Linked DNA regions of Kluyveromyces lactis. The protein of the gene in region 1 purifies or fractionates together with the protein of each later gene. This does not show direct contact. Links are inferred from orthologs where the notes say so. Each region holds a gene or a part of one and is shown in the gene's direction. Other genes may lie near its edges.

The links.
Region 2: the proteins of XRN1 (region 1) and KLLA0_A02761g purify together in Saccharomyces cerevisiae (affinity purification with mass spectrometry; 5 studies listed by BioGRID, with this or other methods). This does not show direct contact. The link is inferred for Kluyveromyces lactis from reciprocal best matches to the Saccharomyces cerevisiae genes XRN1 and YGR054W.
Region 3: the proteins of XRN1 (region 1) and LSM5 purify together in Saccharomyces cerevisiae (affinity purification with mass spectrometry; 5 studies listed by BioGRID). This does not show direct contact. The link is inferred for Kluyveromyces lactis from reciprocal best matches to the Saccharomyces cerevisiae genes XRN1 and LSM5.
Region 4: the proteins of XRN1 (region 1) and LSM3 purify together in Saccharomyces cerevisiae (affinity purification with mass spectrometry; 6 studies listed by BioGRID, with this or other methods). This does not show direct contact. The link is inferred for Kluyveromyces lactis from reciprocal best matches to the Saccharomyces cerevisiae genes XRN1 and LSM3.
Region 5: the proteins of XRN1 (region 1) and PAT1 purify together in Saccharomyces cerevisiae (affinity purification with mass spectrometry; 8 studies listed by BioGRID, with this or other methods). This does not show direct contact. The link is inferred for Kluyveromyces lactis from reciprocal best matches to the Saccharomyces cerevisiae genes XRN1 and PAT1.
Region 6: the proteins of XRN1 (region 1) and LSM1 purify together in Saccharomyces cerevisiae (affinity purification with mass spectrometry; 6 studies listed by BioGRID, with this or other methods). This does not show direct contact. The link is inferred for Kluyveromyces lactis from reciprocal best matches to the Saccharomyces cerevisiae genes XRN1 and LSM1.
Region 7: the proteins of XRN1 (region 1) and LSM7 purify together in Saccharomyces cerevisiae (affinity purification with mass spectrometry; 4 studies listed by BioGRID). This does not show direct contact. The link is inferred for Kluyveromyces lactis from reciprocal best matches to the Saccharomyces cerevisiae genes XRN1 and LSM7.

What each region holds. Positions count from the first base shown.
Region 1 is NC_006042.1:2,094,035-2,096,096, forward strand, and holds the end of XRN1 (chromatin-binding exonuclease XRN1), read left to right. Parts: coding exon 1-1,562; downstream 1,563-2,062. Other genes in the region: BUD13 (Bud13p), read right to left, coding at 1,659-2,062. UniProt on the Saccharomyces cerevisiae protein: Multifunctional protein that exhibits several independent functions at different levels of the cellular processes. 5'-3' exonuclease component of the nonsense-mediated mRNA decay (NMD) which is a highly conserved mRNA degradation pathway, an RNA surveillance system whose role is to identify and rid cells of mRNA with premature termination codons and thus prevents accumulation of potentially harmful truncated proteins.
Region 2 is NC_006037.1:246,386-250,128, forward strand, and holds KLLA0_A02761g (translation initiation factor 2A), read left to right. Parts: upstream 1-1,485; coding exon 1,486-3,243; downstream 3,244-3,743. Other genes in the region: MCO32 (Mco32p), read right to left, coding at 259-870. UniProt on the Saccharomyces cerevisiae protein: Functions in the early steps of protein synthesis of a small number of specific mRNAs. Acts by directing the binding of methionyl-tRNAi to 40S ribosomal subunits.
Region 3 is NC_006041.1:902,701-904,834, reverse strand, and holds LSM5 (RNA-binding protein LSM5), read left to right. Parts: upstream 1-1,379; coding exon 1,380-1,634; downstream 1,635-2,134. Other genes in the region: PAA1 (polyamine acetyltransferase), read right to left, coding at 1-467; IPT1 (inositolphosphotransferase), read right to left, coding at 1,878-2,134. UniProt on the Saccharomyces cerevisiae protein: Component of LSm protein complexes, which are involved in RNA processing and may function in a chaperone-like manner. Component of the cytoplasmic LSM1-LSM7 complex which is involved in mRNA degradation by activating the decapping step.
Region 4 is NC_006038.1:468,650-470,680, forward strand, and holds LSM3 (U4/U6-U5 snRNP complex subunit LSM3), read left to right. Parts: upstream 1-1,279; coding exon 1,280-1,531; downstream 1,532-2,031. Other genes in the region: MRPL4 (mitochondrial 54S ribosomal protein uL29m), read right to left, coding at 1-616; NTE1 (lysophospholipase), read right to left, coding at 1,816-2,031. UniProt on the Saccharomyces cerevisiae protein: Component of LSm protein complexes, which are involved in RNA processing and may function in a chaperone-like manner. Component of the cytoplasmic LSM1-LSM7 complex which is involved in mRNA degradation by activating the decapping step.
Region 5 is NC_006042.1:2,529,591-2,533,747, forward strand, and holds PAT1 (deadenylation-dependent mRNA-decapping factor PAT1), read left to right. Parts: upstream 1-1,357; coding exon 1,358-3,970; downstream 3,971-4,157. Other genes in the region: RQC2 (Rqc2p), read right to left, coding at 1-638. UniProt on the Saccharomyces cerevisiae protein: Activator of decapping that functions as a general and active mechanism of translational repression and required for P-body formation. First decay factor recruited to mRNA, at a time when the mRNA is still associated with translation factors.
Region 6 is NC_006041.1:1,348,189-1,350,396, forward strand, and holds LSM1 (Lsm1p), read left to right. Parts: upstream 1-1,168; coding exon 1,169-1,708; downstream 1,709-2,208. Other genes in the region: DUF5427 domain-containing protein MTC1, read left to right, coding at 1-93; FMP46 (putative redox protein), read right to left, coding at 162-551; KLLA0_E15181g (uncharacterized protein), read right to left, coding at 2,048-2,208. UniProt on the Saccharomyces cerevisiae protein: Component of the cytoplasmic LSM1-LSM7 complex which is involved in mRNA degradation by activating the decapping step.
Region 7 is NC_006041.1:2,036,969-2,039,243, forward strand, and holds LSM7 (Sm-like protein LSM7), read left to right. Parts: upstream 1-1,312; coding exon 1,313-1,324; intron 1,325-1,454; coding exon 1,455-1,775; downstream 1,776-2,275. Other genes in the region: ALF1 (Alf1p), read right to left, coding at 359-1,111. UniProt on the Saccharomyces cerevisiae protein: Component of LSm protein complexes, which are involved in RNA processing and may function in a chaperone-like manner. Component of the cytoplasmic LSM1-LSM7 complex which is involved in mRNA degradation by activating the decapping step.

The sequences.
Region 1 (2,062 bases):
CGTATGGTGGGGAGGCGACCGTTGATGGTTATAATAGTGAGACTAGATTAAAACTTACAGTCAAAAAGGGTTCTCTCAGAGCAGAGCCTAACATCGGAAAAGTTAGAGCGAAATTGGATTCTCAAGCCTTGAGATTCTACCCAACACAAGTGTTTTCAAAAATAGCTCGTGTCCACCCTCTCTTCTTGTCAAAAATTACTTCAAGATATTTGGTCAATGATTCTAAAAAGAAAAGCCATAACGTCGGTTTGATGATCAAATTCAAAGCAAGAAATCAAAAAGTTCTCGGTTATGCCAGATGCAGCTCAAACAAATGGGAATACTCTGACGTCGCTCTTGGTTTGTTAGAGCAGTTCAGATCTACATTCCCTGAGTTCTTTGCGAAACTTTCTAACTCGAAGGAACAAGCAATTCCATCGATCACTGATCTCTTCCCTAACAAATCTAGCGCGGAAGCTGATTCCATTTTGAAAACAGTGGCTGATTGGCTCTCAGAAGCAAGAAAACCATTCGTGGTGGTGTCTTTGGAAAGTGATTCGCTAACCAAGGCTTCGATGGCAGCTGTTGAATCTGAAATCATAAAATACGTTTCTTTACCAGATTCAAGCGAGCAGAAGAAATTAGCTAAGGTCCCACGTGAGGCAATCTTAAATGCGGAATCGTCATATGTTCTATTGCGCTCCCAAAGGTTCCACTTAGGTGATAGGGTAATGTACATTCAAGATTCAGGCAAGGTTCCACTTCACAGCAAAGGTACTGTCGTTGGCTACACTTCAATTGGCAAGAACGTCTCAATCCAAGTTCTATTTGACAATGAAATAATTGCAGGAAACAACTTTGGTGGTAGGTTGCAGACCAGACGTGGTTTGGGATTGGACTCTTCCTTCTTATTAAACTTGTCTGATAGACAATTGGTATATCATTCAAAGGCATCGAAGAGTGCTGATAAGAAACCAAAAGCAGTTCCTAATGATAAGCAAGTCGCCCTCGCAAAAAAGAAGAGAGTGGAGGAACTCAAAAAAAAGCAAGCCCATGAGTTGTTAAATCATATCAAGAAGGATAACGCGGAATCAAATACCGAATCTGGATCCGCTCCGCAAATAGCAGTTAACACTTTAAATCCTTCGGCTGCTAACAACGTGTTCAATGCCGTCTTGAACCAAATCAAACCAGGTTCTCAACAGCAAATTCAACCACCTCCAGCAAATTCTCTGCCTTACAATTTCACTGTTCCCCCACATATGGTTCCTGGTGGTATTCCTCATCCTCTTATGATGCAGCCGCCTTTCATTCCGAATAATGAGCATATTGCTTATGCAGCTCCTCCTCAGTCACAACCTGTACAAAATCCACCATTAGATAAAGAGGCATCCAGGAATCTTAAGAATCTCCTAATTAGAGATGAGAATGGACGTACAGCAAATGTGGAGAATAAAGACTCAGATGATACAAAGAGATCTTCTCATTCTCGTGGCGGTCGTCGTGGCCGTAGTAATCGTGGTCGTGGTGCCTCCGGGAGGGGTGGTCATTTCAAAAATTCTCCTAAAAAAACTGAAACCTGAATGTTGGTTTGAATGGACTATTAACAGTAAATATTATATCACTTCAGTAAATAATGCTTAGTATATAAGAATAGAGACACTTTCAGGTTCAACTTTTCAAAATTCCCGGTTTGTTGTTTGTTCCTTTATTTTTTGATCAGCGATATCGTGACTCTTAGCAAACCACTTAGTTTCAAACCCATTTGATCTATCAACTCCATCCCATCTATAACCGGGAACGATACCGAACCGATTTTCTGGAAAGTTTTTCTCGTAAAGCCTTCGACCCAACAGTGACGTATTCGTTCCTCGCAGGGTGTTTCCTTGATTCAATGGATCTTCGGTTGATAATAATGCACTTTTCTCAGTTTTGCGATCAAGTTTTGATATTTGTACTTCGCCTATATTTCGTATTTTAAGTTCTTCTTCCTTACGTACTTTCGCTGTCAAATTAGCCTTTTCTCGAAGTTTCAATTCTTCTTCGTATCCATCTATTACCTTACCTTTTTCGTCTCTATATA
Region 2 (3,743 bases), on another chromosome or scaffold:
AACCATTCAATTCACTTCGTGTCCAAACAACGAACTTTAAATAGTAGACATCTAATATTCATACCAGGTTCAACACTATTTTCTAGCTTTGCCTTCCAGTAAGGTTTCGTTAATTGCCCTAGTGATATAATCATAATAAAAAACCCATCTAAATTAACATACTTCCATACACGTAAATATATATGTCTCAAGTTGGAAATAAAGAAAAGGCAACGTGTATATACAAGAGTGCACTTGTGGAATCGATAACCATAGAGATCATGGTCCTGACCATGTCTTGAAGTAGGCGATTGCACCATTTTGAACCTTTGAACTAAAATCTATCTTTTTATCTTTTTCGATTATTTCGACATCATCTATTAGATGACTCGTAATCTTATCACAGTTCTCATTCAAACCAAAGATAAAGATCCCTGAAATTTTCGTCTCTGACTCAGCTTTCTTGATACTCCCTAGATTATCTGCAGCCAAGGGATGGGTTTCCCATCTCATAATTACTTCATGCTTCTCAACGTCAAGGCTTTTAATACGTACCCTGTTTTCAACTGAGAATGCAAAAGTGTTCAATAAGAACCGTATGCTATTCCAGACAGCATAATACTTCGTTATTCCGGAGAAGCTTGGCAAGTACGGATGGGTAATAGGCATAATCTTCAACTCTATGTCTTTGCTTAGTCTCGGTTCATGTAAAGAAGTTTGTAGAAGATGTGGGACATTTGACTGCAAGTATGTTATCGTACATCCCAAATTCACACGACGGATATTTTCAGTACTCATCTTTCCATTGTTACCAATATCAGCACACCCAGAGGTCCCACTGTACCGCCGCACAGACCGCAGAAATCCTAATCTTCTTATTGTTGTGCTCATCGATATAATAATTAAACTAATGGACAAATCTCGTAAATTTTATCGTTAAACGCATGCAAATTAAATCTTAAGCTATTACGGTAAGGTGTTATTCTATCAGTACCCAAAACTTTCAATATATTAGGCAAATATTAACTATGTTAACCCAATGTCTAATGTACCATTCGGATCTATTACATTTGCTTTAAGCAGATTTGATCATCACGATATTTATCCCCATGCCAAATGTTGAGAAAAGTCTCGTTACCCTGACATACACATGTCATATCAATTTTTTTTTTTCGCTTCTTCCTCTTCGAACTTTTCAACTTGAAGGCTTTCTTTCACTCTAAAGATATAATCATCGATATCTAATTGTTTCGATAGTGTTTGCGTTTGGTTGGAGATAAATAGGTGTGCAAGGCCTGCTATTTCGCTAATTTGGCGCAAATTATTACTTAAGTCATTAAGCCATCCATTAATTTTTAAGAGAGCTTCAATTGATTGAGAAAACTATTAAAAAAGTGCCTCTCACATCATTCATTCATTCTTTGGTTTAGAGATCTATTTAAATCAATCTTAAGCATTTTAGCAACCAAGGCGAGAAAGACTCAATAAGTTACATAGGTTTGGCTCATGTCGTTCCAGTTGTTTGCTAAGACTAACTCCACCGTGGAAGTCTTCCAAGGATACCCATCATTTGAGGAGATTTCCTCATCTAAGAGCGGAAACGATGGTACTGAAGGTAAAGTGATTCAATCTCTTTTGTCTCCATGCGGTAGATTCATGGCTAAATCGTACGAGAGTAAAGTTGTACTGTTAATCGGTGAAACCTGGGAAATCACATTGGTGGAATTACCGTTAAAGAACGTTTATGACCTAAAATTTTCTCCAAGTGGGAACTTTTTGTCTACTTGGGAAAGACCTTTAGTAGACGACACAGAACACCTAAATTGTAAGATTTGGAACTTGAATGAGTCACCATTGTCTACAGAACCAAAATACAGTTATAAAGCATCGACCCAAAGTTCTTGGACTTTACAATTCTCTAAGTTGGATGACTATGCCATCAAGTCATTTGGTAAGGAACTTCGCATCATCAAGTTAAGTGGTGAAGACACATTCAAGTTTGACAAGCCATTTGCCACTTTGACTCCAGACCAACCATTCACCACCTATCAAATATCTCCGGCTGAACATCCAACTATTTGCACGTTCACAAAGGAAAAGTCAGGAAAACCTGCACAATTAACCATTTGGCCCATTACCACTGGTAAGATTACCAAACAAATTGTCACCAAACAATTTTTCAAAGCAGATTCATGCCATTTAAAATGGAGTGATTTAGGTAATGCCATATTATGCCTAACCACCACTGATTTCGATCATTCTAATAAGTCCTACTACGGTGAAAATAACCTGTACTTATTGTCATTCCAAGGTGTCAATGGTGCATTGGGTGGCGAATCAGTCCGTGTATCCCTTGGTAAAGAAGGACCAATTCATGATTTCAACTGGTCTCCAACTTCGAGACAATTTGGTGTCATTTACGGATTCATGCCAGCCACTATCACATTCTTTGATCTTAAGGGCAACGCCATCCATTCTTTAAACGAACAAAGGAAAAACACATTAGAATTTTCGCCAAATGGTAAATACATCCTTGTTGGTGGTTTCGGTAACTTGCAAGGCTCTGTGGATATTTTGGATAGACATGATAAATTTAGATGCATCAGTAAATTTAGCGCTACAAACACTTCTGTCTGCAAATGGTCTCCAGGCGGCGAGTTCATCTTAACAGCAACCACTTCTCCAAGATTGAGAGTGGACAATGGATTGAAAATCTGGCATTATTCTGGTACCTTGGTGTTCGTTAAAGAATACAAAGAGCTTTTGAAAGTGGATTGGAGAACGAATTGTCCTTTCAGAATAATCAAGGATGGGTATGTTACCAACGGTAACAAATTGAAGGACGAGGAATTGAAACAAGATCCAAAGATTAGAAAGCATCAGCTAGAAATACATCCAGTGGTCACTCAGTTCAACTTGAAGAACCCAAACAAGTCATCAACTAATTTAGGCGCCAAGAAAACCACTGGAGCCTACAAACCCCCACATGCTAGAAAAGCAACTGTAGTACCTGGAACCACTAAAACTAGAGCACCACAATCAACTCCAACGCCGCCCCTTCAACAATCTGCTGCAAGTCAAACTTCACCAGAAGAAAAGAAAATCAGATCTTTGTTGAAGAAATTAAGAGCCATTGAGTCACTCAAAGTAAAACAAACCGAAGGTGTCAAGTTAGAAAACACCCAGGTCACAAAAATCCAATCAGAACCTAAGATCTTAAAAGAGTTGGAATTACTTGGTTGGAAGGGAGAGTTAGATTCATGAGAGAAAATACCAGAACCCCATGAAAATATTATCTCCGGATCCATTAAAATATACACCTACATTCTCATTTATTACAAGTTGGATGTATTGGAATATAACCTACATATCAGAGATATAACAAAGCCACGATAGTTAATAAAGCACTGTCAACCCTTTCATAATCATTTATAGTAACGCCTTTTACTTTATTAGACATGCACGCCATTCGGACAAAAAAAGTTTGAAATTCAACCAAAAAGAATGGTCGCGCCCGGATTCGAACCGGGGTTAATGGAATATTCGGGACTTGTACTTCTCTCGAAGCAACTTCTCAGAATCCACGGTGATAACCTCTACACTACGCAACCGTCAACTTATTCCATCCGGTGATTTGAAAAGACCATCAGGGGCAATTGTTGCCAAAGAACATCACTGTCTTGGGAATTATTCTCCATACGTGAAAGCGTGCCCCATGCTATGTGGCTTCTCCATTCAGGCACCTATTTCGACAAATGATACTA
Region 3 (2,134 bases), on another chromosome or scaffold:
AATGGTACCAGCTCGTTATGGGCAATGATAACAATTCTGTCTCCGATTTCTTGGTTAGACATCTTTTGGATGTAATCTGTCAATAGTAGAGTAGCTAGGTTCTTCTTCTGATGTTGTGGAGCAATGACGACAGAATGCACTCCAATGACAGGAGAAGAATCGTCTTGTGTGAAACTCATGCTTTCGTTGGTAATAAAAGTTAATTCCTTGGTACCGTTTTTTGGGATGGGGATCTTGGTACCAAAGATATGGCCAATCAACTTTTCTCCCAAAATCTCAGTGCCTTTAACGTCTCTAATGAAAAGACCCGAGCTCAATTCGGGGCACATCTTCAATCTGAATTCGATCTTCTCCTTTCCAGCCCTTTCTTCAGGTGGGAAGCCTTGTGCCTCTAGCTCTACTGATGCTTGGCAATCTTCTATCGTTAATGGTCTAATATAAACATGCAGTGGCAATGACGATGACATAGTGAAAATTCTTTTCTGATTTTATAATACTTAATAATGATTTCCTAATGTTGTTTCTTCAATTCTAGCCACAATAATACAATTATTTGCTCCTTATTCTAGTTTGCTTCTAAAATCAATCGAACCTTATTATCAACAATGGTATTCAACTCCTAGACCAATTGATTTTATCAACTAGTGTTAGACAGATATGATGTCTTTGTGAACTGCTCAATAACGGAAGTGATAGTCTTGTGAGATGTGTGTCTATATGTATTTGTTATCCTTATCCTTATCATCATATGTAAAACCTTAGTATATATGATTGATATTGCAATTGAATTGTTATTTTGATATTGTACAAAGGAGAAACAACAGTTGCGGCAAGAATATAGAAATTACGCACCACTTGGTAGGAATTTGTGAGTGATAACCAAATCTAAAGTTGACAGAACCTGTAAATACCGGACTGGCAAGTTGAATGGTCACCAGAGGCTTAATCTTGGACCAGAACGCCAATCATCACAGCTGGTGAACAGTGTCTCAGGGACACCTGATGTTCGTGTTTAGTGAGATGTCATGTGACCCGTACCGTCCGTTCCTAGCGAAATTGCATGTTGTTTAAGCCTTTGTAGCCAACAGCACCATCAAGTCGATGCCAATAGATACAACATTCTTGGCCTACCTTGTAGCAGCTTTTAAGGCTTTTTATGGGCTCATTTCTTTACTTTATTGCCTTCTTTCGGCCAACTACGCTTACTTTCACCATACAATCACATATTGAGAGAGCTTTGAAAGTTTCAAGAAATAAGTACCTTTGATCAAAGAGATAAAGCTGTGAGCTGACGACAACTACTGTCTATTAGTATCATTAGACTATTAAAACCTCCTGCTCTACTACTGCATCAACACATATTTATAAAACGACGGGATATGAGTAGTGTTTCAGAGATTTTGCCCCTAGAGGTCATTGACAAAACAATAGGACAGGAAGTGACCATTCTACTTAAAGATTACAGAGAATTCTTTGGTACGCTAGTAGGGTTCGATGATTACGTTAATGTTGTCATTGAAAATGCGGTAGAGTATTTGGAAGACCAGGAGATTAAAAGATTCCAGGGAAAGATGTTATTGACTGGTAACAACATTGCTATGTTGATACCTGGTGGAAAACCTGCTTCAAATTAAACAATGGAACTGCATATTGATGTTCAAAACGAAATCTGTAACATGCATGCTGTTTTTTTCTCTCTCAGATGTTTGGTATTGATATATTGACTAACATCCTTTGTAAGTATATATTATATATTTTATATGTAAAATAATTATCATATTGAAGTGCAGCTTATACAAAAAATGAATCAATGCAAACGTACGAGACGTTTGATATACCGTATCCGAAGGTTTGTTGATTTTTGTTGTTCAACTATATCATGCCAAGGGATCGAAAAACCATTCGATCTTAGTGTTTTCAAAAACTCTCATACCCATAGTTTTTGACTCTTTCATTTTGTCCAAGGTAGGATCAGCCCTGGTTATTAGCCAAGGCTTGATAACTTTTGGTTGCAAGACGTATTTGTTGATCAAGATGTATGAGATTACAGCATAAACGGCACCGACGAATAAATCGTATCTGAAATGGTGATCCAAATATTGGGTTGACCACCATTGTAAGCATACGAAAATCG
Region 4 (2,031 bases), on another chromosome or scaffold:
CGTATATGGCATATTGAAAACGTTGCAATGATTCGAAAATCTCTTCATCTTCGTTAGCAGGAGCTTCTAAAAAGTCTTTTTCGAATGATTCGATAAATACTTGTTTTTCAACAGCAAATTTCTCATTCGCTATCTTGAATGCCCAGTCTCGTTCGCTAAGGACGTGTCTTATTCTCCACATTGTCGTTCTGATCTTTTCGGAGATATCTTGGTATGCTTCGGTTTGTGCTTCAAAGTTGAACTGCACCAAATGGTTTTCACGTGCTAATACGTTACGTTCTTTCAAACATGTGTACCACAAAGAATGTAGGTCAGTGAACGATTTTCTTCTCAACTCTGGGATGGTCCAAGGTCTCGAAAGCGTATCCAATTCCTCGGGCGTTCTTAAAAACTTCTTCTCGGAGAAAAATTGCCATAAAGGATGATCATCTGGACATGTCAAATTGGCAGCAGCCGGTGGAATAGGAGCTGTAATCTTTAAATCATTATCGTGATGGGTCCTCTGGGTAGGTAGTCTAACGTTCTCTCTCTTGGCTGGTTTGGGTTTAGGTTTGGTGAATCTCGTCCTGGCACATGCTCTAGAAGTAGTATGCAATCCCCTTCTTGCTGGGAACATTTTGAAAATATAATATCCCTGCTATAATAAACACGTCCTGCAGCTACTCAATCGAGGTAGAACACTTCAATATCACGACAGCTAGCTGATTCATCCATGTTTTAATTCCTATTCAGCTTTCCTCTGCTTAAATGTTATAAAAATTTTTTGATCGAACAGAGTTGATTCGGGGTCCGTCATTAGGTTGCCCGGCCTTTGTCATGTGATAGTCACGTGAATATCAGGTTGACTATTGACTCTCTTAGTGAAGCATAGTGCAATAAGATGATAAACTAGCATCGCATATCCTGGCCATCTTTCAACAGGTACAGTATCATTCAAAGATGGTTGGAAACGTGTACCTTCCCTGGTTTAACTGATTATTCTATAATTCAGAGCTTTCCATTGACATCGAAATTCAAAACTTCAACACTTTTTATCAATTAGTACGTTAACAATAATTTGGTGATTAAGTATGTTATGGAGGATGCTCTGGAGTGTGAATGGAACTAAGCCTTGGATTGTATATCGACTACTCTACTATACCTGGTACTCCATTTGATAAACTGACAAAGGAAACCATTCAACCTAACTGCTGTACCCTCTATCAATTGCATTATTGGTTATTGTAAGAATACGACTGCATCATAAATATAGAAGACATACACACTTTACGCCGCAAAGATGTCTGATACGCCTCTGGATCTATTAAAATTGAATTTAGACGAGCGAGTATATGTGAAATTACGTGATGCTCGTGAATTAGTGGGTACTCTTCAGGCTTTCGACTCACATTGTAATATTGTTCTTTCAGATTCAAAGGAAACCATTTATGAACTAGTAGAAGGAGATTTGAAAACGACCGAAAGGTTTTCGGAAATGATTTTCGTTAGAGGTGGTCTTGTGGCCCTTGTAACAACACCAGAAGATGAATGATTGTCCAGTATCCTTCTTCTTCTTTCAACATTTAATAAGGGAAATTCGAAGAAATAACTTCATGTCCTCATTATTGATTGAGTGCGATGTGAGCTATCCTCATTTTGCCCCCAATATACATCCATCGCTAACATTTGTATAGTATATATTTAGTTTATTCAATTTTTTTTTAACTTTCGGTTTACAGTTACTTAGAAACTATAACGTTAATTGCCATGGCTTTGATTTTATGTCCTGCATGTCCACCATCGACAAATGTGGGTAGCGTTTCCTGTTAATTCGTTTTATATACTGTTCCGTCTTTGTAACATGTTTTCTTTGTCGGCATAAGCAGAAGTTGTGGTACCCGCAATTGGCGGTAATTCGTTTTTCTCTTGCAGATGTTGTAAAAAGTCATGACCGTACGCGTAGCCTACTTGGTATATTTCTTCAAACTTACCAAAATCCAAAGTCGCATAGTTCTCAATAGGAGGCCTGATGTACACCACACCTGGTGTACT
Region 5 (4,157 bases), about 440 kb from region 1:
AAAAGTTTTTGAATAGACGGAACAGATGCTTTTCCCTTGAGTTTACCTTTTTTAGCCTCTCCGGGCACAATTGTGCTTTTGGCTTTAACGTCGGCTTCTTTCAACCAATCTGCTATTTCATTTTCGAAATATTCCTTAGGATCAGGAACCGTAGTTGAAGTTTGGTTAATTTCTGCAAAGTTGGCCATGTCATAAAATTCACCAACTTTCATCGAATAATCATCGACAACTCTCTGTAGTAAAAGAATTTTTTGGTCAGCATCCAATAAAAGCACATTTCCGGCACTGAAAAATTCTAAAACAAGGTAGTACTTACCATCAGCAAAAGTAAACACAATTATTCTGTCATTTGGGATCTGCTTAACTGCCGTCAATCGTTTTTCTTTCAAATACGATCTCAATTTGGAAACAAACCACGAAGGAGTCGGGGGAATCGGCCTGGTAAAGTCAGTAGTATGAACTCGCAATCCGCAATCAATGACAACGTTTAACTTGGAATCGGGTTTTCCAAACTTTAATAAGAATTGCCTGTTTGAGTCAGCAATGTTATAGATATTTCTTAAGCGAAATCCTACAATTTGATTCTCCAACTCTTTGGATATCAGTTGCAAATCTAACGAACTCAATCTCTGTTTCATTTTCTAGTATCAAATCCAAGATTATAGTTTAGATATTTCGTACTCTCCAAGTTGCAGTTAAGTCCACTTTACCAGTCTGAGTTGATTCTTTTCGAGCACTATACTTGATTCAGATCTTCATACAAATCAGTATTTTCACTGCTAATCAGATTAAAATTATTAGAACTTGGTCACTGCTATTAGATCAGATATCTTTTATTACTTAGGTTTAAGACTAAACTGCTAAGCTGATATATTTTCCAGATAGCTGTACCTAGGATGTTAGTAGTATATGTCATCTTTGTCTATTCGCAATCACTTTATATATGCTGCTAATGAAGGAAAGAAAGACTACGTACGAGTTTGTATTGGAACTTTCTAAACTACCATGTTGAAAAATGTCAAATATTTGAAATCACATGACCTGAATTTCAAATTTTGAACTAGAAATCCTTAATATGTATATCATCTTGCACGGTGAAATTTTTCATCAAACAACAACCCAAAAATGTAATTCACTTAACAAGCAAAGTAGTTTCTATGCTCAAAAATAAGTGATCAGAGATATTCAGAGACCGTTTGTTGGAAGATTGCTTGAACGAAACGCAGGCAGGTAGCGACTTAAATCACATTACTTGTGTTTTTAAGAGAATATAATAGGATTTGTCGACAATTCTGATCTAGAAATCGATTTTTGCCCAATTAGTATAGGAGTCCTTATATTCCTGAATCACTGAACGATGTCATTCTTCGGTTTTGACGCCACGGGCCGAAAACCTCGTGAGAGGAAACAGCAAGGCGAGGAGGATTCTTTAGATTTCGAAGAAACGTATCAAGGCTTGGGTGATTATGAGCCAGAGGAAGATGATTTGCTCAATGATGAAACTTTTGGTACTGGAGCGGATCTGGGTACAGATTTTGATTTTGGTTACGGTAAAGGGGAGCTTGGCGCTGGTTCAGGTTCTGGTAGGGCACCAGCACCAGCTCCTGTTTCTTATGCATCTATTGCAAATGCCAAAATGAACAGACAAGCAGACTGTAAACCTGGTTTCGAACAATCGCTGGACATGCAACCTATGGAATCTTTATGGGGTAACAGCTCCGGTAATCAGCAACAACAGGTGCAACCTCAAGCCCCTACACAATTCCAAGCCCCACCACAGGTTCAACAGCAAGGTGCACCTAATGTGGAAGGATTGGCCATTCAATCTTTAGACAGACAACAACAGATGGCTATGCCGCCTCAACCTGGATTCTATGGTATGCAACCTCCGCAGAACCCTGGCTACGGCTTTATTCCACAAGGGTTCCCTCAAGGTCAATACCAGCAATTCCCTGGGCAAAATATTCCCCCTGTTATCCCTAATCAATTCGGTAATGCCGGATTTCCTAATCAACCTGTTAACCCTCAGGAACAATTCCAACAAGTACCACCGATAATGTACAATCAAACACAAGGAAACATTGCACATCATATGCAACATCCGCAGATGGCTATGCCACCAATGCAAAATCAACCTCCTGTTCAGCCCCAGCAGCCCCACCAACAGCAGTTACCTCCCCAATACTTGCCTCAACAACACCAACAAGATCAGCAGCACCAACAACAACACCAACAGCAACAAGTGTTCCAACAGCCTCACTCCGTTGACACTGCTGCTAGAACCCAAGCTGTCCGTTCTACTCAAGATTATGAGCATTCTAACTCTCCAACACCTGTGCCAACAGAATCAGAGCAGGTGCCAACTCCACCTCATACACCTAGAGAGTATCGCCGTGGTCCAAGGAGGTTTGGCACCCAAGATCCTTTGACTGATGAAGAATTGAGACGTCTTCAAATCAGACAATCGAAGGTTGACAAAATTCTCAGACACTCTGGTGTAATGACTCCAAGAGACAAGGATTTTATCACCAGGTATCAGTTATCTCAAATTGTCACTGATGATCCCTACAATGAGGATTTCTACTTCCAAGTTTATAAAATCATTCAAAGGGGTGTCACTCCATCTGAATCTAATAAGGATTCTATTGCTAAAGCATATTTAGAGCACTCGGGTCACAGATTAGGAGGTCGTTACAAGAGAACTGACGTCGCGTTACAGAGAATGCAATCTCAGGTCGAGAAGGCTGTTACCGTTGCGAAAGAAAGACCACAGAAAAGTAAGGGTGGGTTGGATAATGCCAAAGAGGGTGTCTTGGGTAAAATCTCAGCTACTAGGAACTCAAAAGCTCCAAGAAAGCAATTACAAATCCCAACTCACAAAGAGGATTCTCCAGCGTTGTCTTCTCAATCAAGCTCAGCCCTAGATGAGGTGTCTGAATCTTTGCAAGGCGTGGATATCAATGCCAAAAGAAGAAGATCATCTTATGCTTTGAGTTCTTCAGTGGACCATCGTACAGTTTTATCCCGTTCTGGTGGCCGTAAGTTCATTTTATCATTGATTGAAACTGTTTACGAAGAAGTGCTTGAACTAGAAGCTCAATTGAGATCCGGTCAACAGCCGGACAGTTCAAAATTATGGGAGGCGCTACACGTTGAGGACCACGGTTTTGACGTTTCTCCCTTCATTTCCATCTTATCTTTCGACAAAGGTATCAAGATTATGCCACGTATTATGAATTTCTTGTCAAGAGAAGAGAAGATTAAGCTTTTCAACTGCTTCTTCAAGGAACTTTCTCATTTGAATGTCATTGTCATATCATCGTACAAGACTACTCCACTTCCTACTAAAGATCAACTGAAGAAGATGGAATTGTTCCAATCTGTGTTTTTGAAGATCATTGTTTCGTTCTTATCCAGTTCAGCAGAGTTTTTGGAGGTAATGAGTCTACTAATAAATGTCATTCAGAATAATAACGTTTCTTTCATCACCACATCGCGTATCGGTTTGAATTTGATTACCGTGCTCATTTCACGTGCTGCTTTGATGAAACAAGATGTTAGCAGGGGCAAACTGTTGTCTTCTGTGGAAGTATCCACTTGGAGTGAAGTCTATGATAGGCTATTTACTTCTTTAGAAACAAAATTGACTGCAATTTTCCCAACACCTGAATATATGCAACACGCCATTTCAGTTTATGAACAGGATTCTACTCAGTATGATCAATCTTACATCTGGCAGTTCCTTGCATCGCTTGCTTTGAGCGGAAAATTGAACCATCAACGTATATTGATTGATGAAGTGAGAGACGAAATTTTCGAAGTCATTTCAAAGGCTGAAGAACTAAATGCCCCTTCTCAACAAGACCCTAAACTGGCTTATCAAAGAAACAAGTTCTATCAGGATTTGAACTTGTTCTTGAATGTCATGGGTCTTGTTGCTCGTGATGGTGAAATCACTGAACTGAAGTGATCGATATCGTGCGCCTCCTCTGATCAGCCCCTATCTCGATTGCCACTGTTAACTGTGTGCTACAAATTCGAAATCAAATCTCAAGGAAAAAAATTGCAAAAAAAAGTCAGCTTTATAGTATCTAAGTAATTCTTCTATTTACTATTACAAATGTATCATATTTCCATCTACTAGAACACTTCAATCC
Region 6 (2,208 bases), on another chromosome or scaffold:
AGTGATTGGGTGAAACCATGGATATCCGAAGGTCTTGATCTAACTTTCGGTATTCTTGCCCAACAATACGTCATAAGCAGAATGAATTTGTGAAGTGTCTTTTACATACATATTTTAAAACCCTAATTACTGTTATTAATCATCATTATTATACTCCCATATCAGTTTTTTGGTAACCATTTCTCTTTCAACGATTGAACCGTCGTGCCTAATACAGCTTTTTCCCAGTCAACCCATAAGCTCGTCTGTTTATTCCAAGACCCATTCTCGACACATTTCTGCAATGGTGACCCAAATAGTGGATCCTCAGCAGCTTTTTTCAAAAGAGATTCCGTCTTAGGAATCTGTTCCATTAAGTCGGGCTTATCAATTTTTGCCAAATATTCCAATTGATCTCTAGTAGGGAATTTCTGGCATATTTCAATGTTGATTTTGTTCTTGTGGTTCGATTTTAATGCCGTTAGAAGATTTTGAGCATGAGATGATTCTAATTTGTGTGTGAATAATGTCACTACGCGAGGTTGAAATTGGATGGTTTTAAACATAGACATGATGAATTGAAGATACTGATTGTCAATGTCCCCCTCTATAAAAAATTCGAACTTTTACTCAGTTAAATACTTCAGTCTAATTAAGTCAGGTCACCCCAGTAATTGTTGCTGCCTTTATATACGCAATACTAAATTAAGACATCTTTGAAATATGTACATTTTGGAAATCATACTATTATCCCTCAAATACGCATGGCAGGGAAACAAAATCCCGGAAAATCCAGCAATCAATACTATGATACGGAGTCATGACGTCCCTACTTAGTATCCGGATTGGCAGCACCTTTCACCTACTTGGAAACAGAATCATCAAGCTAACCATTTGTGCCTTGTCTGTGCAATGACTATGCGGTCCTGTAGCAAAGGTAGTCATCCTATAGTTACCCTGCCTCAACGTTACCATACATTTTTTTTCTTCAATTCGTTTCAGCTAGCTCAACATCAAATGGAATTGCAATGAACTGCCAAAAAGATGAATCGTTGGACGCTTTAACGGCCTATTTATCCTTCAAGTGATACCCAGAACTATCACAATCAGTGTTGAATTTTACAATTCATTATAATCTTTTTTTTTTTTTTCACTTGCTCATTGAAAGAATCAGAGTCTCAAATTACAAATGTCCTCTTCGTCTCCGAATAGCGACAGAGCAAGTTCAGTAGGAGTTACTGAACCAGTGGCTTCCGATGTGGAAGAAAATCGTCCTAAGTCCAAGCTATCAGAAGGTGAAGCAGATTTATATTTGGACCAATACAATTTCACAACTACAGCTGCCATTGTTGGCTCAGTAGACCGCAAGATATTCGTACTATTGCGCGATGGCCGTATGTTCTTCGGTGTACTAAGGACGTTTGATCAATATGCCAACTTAATACTACAGCATACGGTGGAAAGAATATATATCGAGGGTGAGAATAAATATGGTGAATGTGACAGAGGAGTTTTCATGATAAGAGGTGAAAACGTTGTTATGTTGGGCGAAGTAGACATCGATAAGGAGGATGCACCATTGGAATCGATGGAACGTGTTCCATTTGAGGAAGCTGAAAGCTATAAGGAGAAAATGGACGAGGTGAAATACAAGGAGAACACTGCTAAGGGTAAGAGACTAGCGCAGCTTGGTTTAACTACCGATTTCAATAAAGGTGATTTGTATTAAGTATAAGATTATAATTAGTTTAAAAGACAAGCAAAAAAAAATCGTAAAACATACAATTCGAAACTAAACTAAACTAAACTAAATCATTACACAAACTGGAGATCGTGTGGTTTTGAAGGGTATTTATCTTTTGATACTCAATTATATATCACATAGAGATATATATATTCACTTATATATGGTTCGGTACTGTACTATTCATAATAAGTAAAATGCATAGATAGCGCGGCATGGCATTCCAAAAAAAAAAAAAAAAAAATTAATGGGACAATAATCCCCATTTGACATAAAATAGAACCATTATAACGGTCAAAATTAATTCTTAACTAACGGATCAACTCATTTGCCAGCGAGCGTCGTTAATTCTTGATCGTATGTCTTTTGAAATTTGTTATAATTACTGATTTCCAACCTCCCCAGTTGTGATATTAATGATTCGTCCGGCGTATCATTAATTCTTAGCGATCGACTCACTTGCCACATATGTGACAAGGGTGTTT
Region 7 (2,275 bases), on another chromosome or scaffold:
CCTCTTCTCAAAACACTTCAAAGTAACGAGCATCCACCTTATACTTAAGAGTGAATATTCTTTGAAGCGCTTCAAGGGCTTAGTATGAAGTTGAGAACAGGAAATGAATTGCCATATTTGATCTTTTTGTAACCAGGTTCATATGAACAGAGACTTTGTGTTCTGAGGAAGATTCGAACCGAAGTCGCAACGTGGCCTTTTTACCAGCTACGGCACAACACCCGACTCAAACCAATTACGAATTCATTCAGTAGTAGACCCTGTCACGTGTGTGTCAGGTGTCATTTCCGTAGTTCAGAGTATCATCCACGAGGCCAAGGACGAGAATATAATTAAACTTATGTAAATTATCAACTCCCTATAACTCATCATCTGTGAGCATCAATTCATCGTCAGCTAATGGCGTGAATTGAGGACCTACTTCAACAACGGCAGGTCTCACAAACCCGCCGTAATTCTTTTTTACTGGTCCGAAATACTTCGTTCCTTGGAATGTACCATTGTTCTTACCGTCAGGTTCGTCAAATTCAATTCCACACCATACATCTGTATTACTGATCTCTTGAACTTTTCCCACGTATCGTAACCATCCTCTTCTTTCGGGGACCTTGGTGGAATCGGTCGTTGTTTCCTCGTTGGACAGTACTCTGCATCTTTCTCCAACGTGTTTTTGTAATAGTTCTGCCTTATCGATATTCAGTTGTAGTTGTTCTTCCATCTTAGAGCGGTATTCAGGATTAAATTTCCCTAACTTGTTATCTTTTTTCCATTGTAATACAGAATCCCTTCTGTTCTCATAATCGTCCATGGTGTATCGGAACGAAACGTCATCGCTATTAGCATGTAGCAAATCATTTTTCAATTGGCTTGCTAAACTGTTTTCGTTGGTGTCTATCACTTTTATGGACTGGATTTTCTCTACTTTCTGGTCTTTGAGATCTTTCAAATACTTGCTGTTCTGTGCATTGCCATTTATCACCAATTTCATGTCTTGAACATCAACACCGGTCAATTCGTTCAATCTTTGGCCCAGATGGTCCCATGATGTACCAGGTTTCACAAAGATCTGAGTGTTAACCAAATCGGATATAATTTCCACGTCAGATGACATTATCGGTGCTGATATATCCTCTGTTTTATTTTGTCTTCGATGCTGTAAGTTCAATGTTTGTCGTTTTGTCCAGGCATGTTTGAACATCGAATTTTTCAATGTTCCGTAAACTTAAATGAAAAGTTAATTTGAAACCAGTAACACACTTTGACAATAACCCATTGAGCAAACAGCGCTACCCCACCCAACCAACTACTAATAATGAGCGAAGCAGTATGTTAACTACTATAATTAGGACGGCTTTCTAAAACTTCTTCAACTTTCTCAAAACAATGATCCATTCTACATTTTAAGTTCAAATTTACTAACAGTTAGAGAGTTTATACATTCCCCTTCTCTGCAGAGGCAATCACAACAACCGAGACAAGAGCAGAAGAAGAAGTTCGAAGGCCCAAAGCGTGAGTCTATCATAAATCTTGCACAATATAAGGACACAGAAGTACGTGTCAAGTTCATAGGGGGAAGACTGGTCACTGGAATCCTAAAGGGTTATGACGAGCTAATGAACTTGGTTCTTGACGAAACCGTCGAATATGCAAGAGACCCAGAAGATGAAACCATCATCCACAAGGACCAAGCCAAAAAAATTGGTTTGGTCGTCATAAGAGGAACAGCTCTACTTTCGCTATGTTCCCTCGAAGGTGCTGAGATCATCAATACCTAGTTAAGACCCAAAAAAAAAAAATTTCAAGCAACAGTGTACCATATATGTTCATTAATAGTGCTATATAACGTTCAGTGCTATATCAAACTCACACTATGAGCCCATATCCACATTTCTACCTGTATCTAATGAAATAAGTATCTCCAACGGAGATACTTTCCTAACCGGCTACATCTCACTTATCAAGACCTAATCTGCACAAATGTGCGTTCACGTGACTTATTGAATCTTTTTTCTAACATCAGCAAAGCTTTTTGGTTAAATTTCGACCAAAAAACCGTATCTCATCGCATCGACTGATTAGAGAGATATCTTGAATTCTTTAAACCGACTGCGTCCAGGTGTTCATTTATATATATGTGAGTATATATCTCTTGTGAGAGTTGTTCTTTTAACGTTTCAAATTCTCTTTTCGCTTGTTGCTGCAAATCTGTTTGAATAATATTTTCTGTAGTATTCTTACTCTTTACTGAAGACCAATCAATTAGCGCATCAAAGCG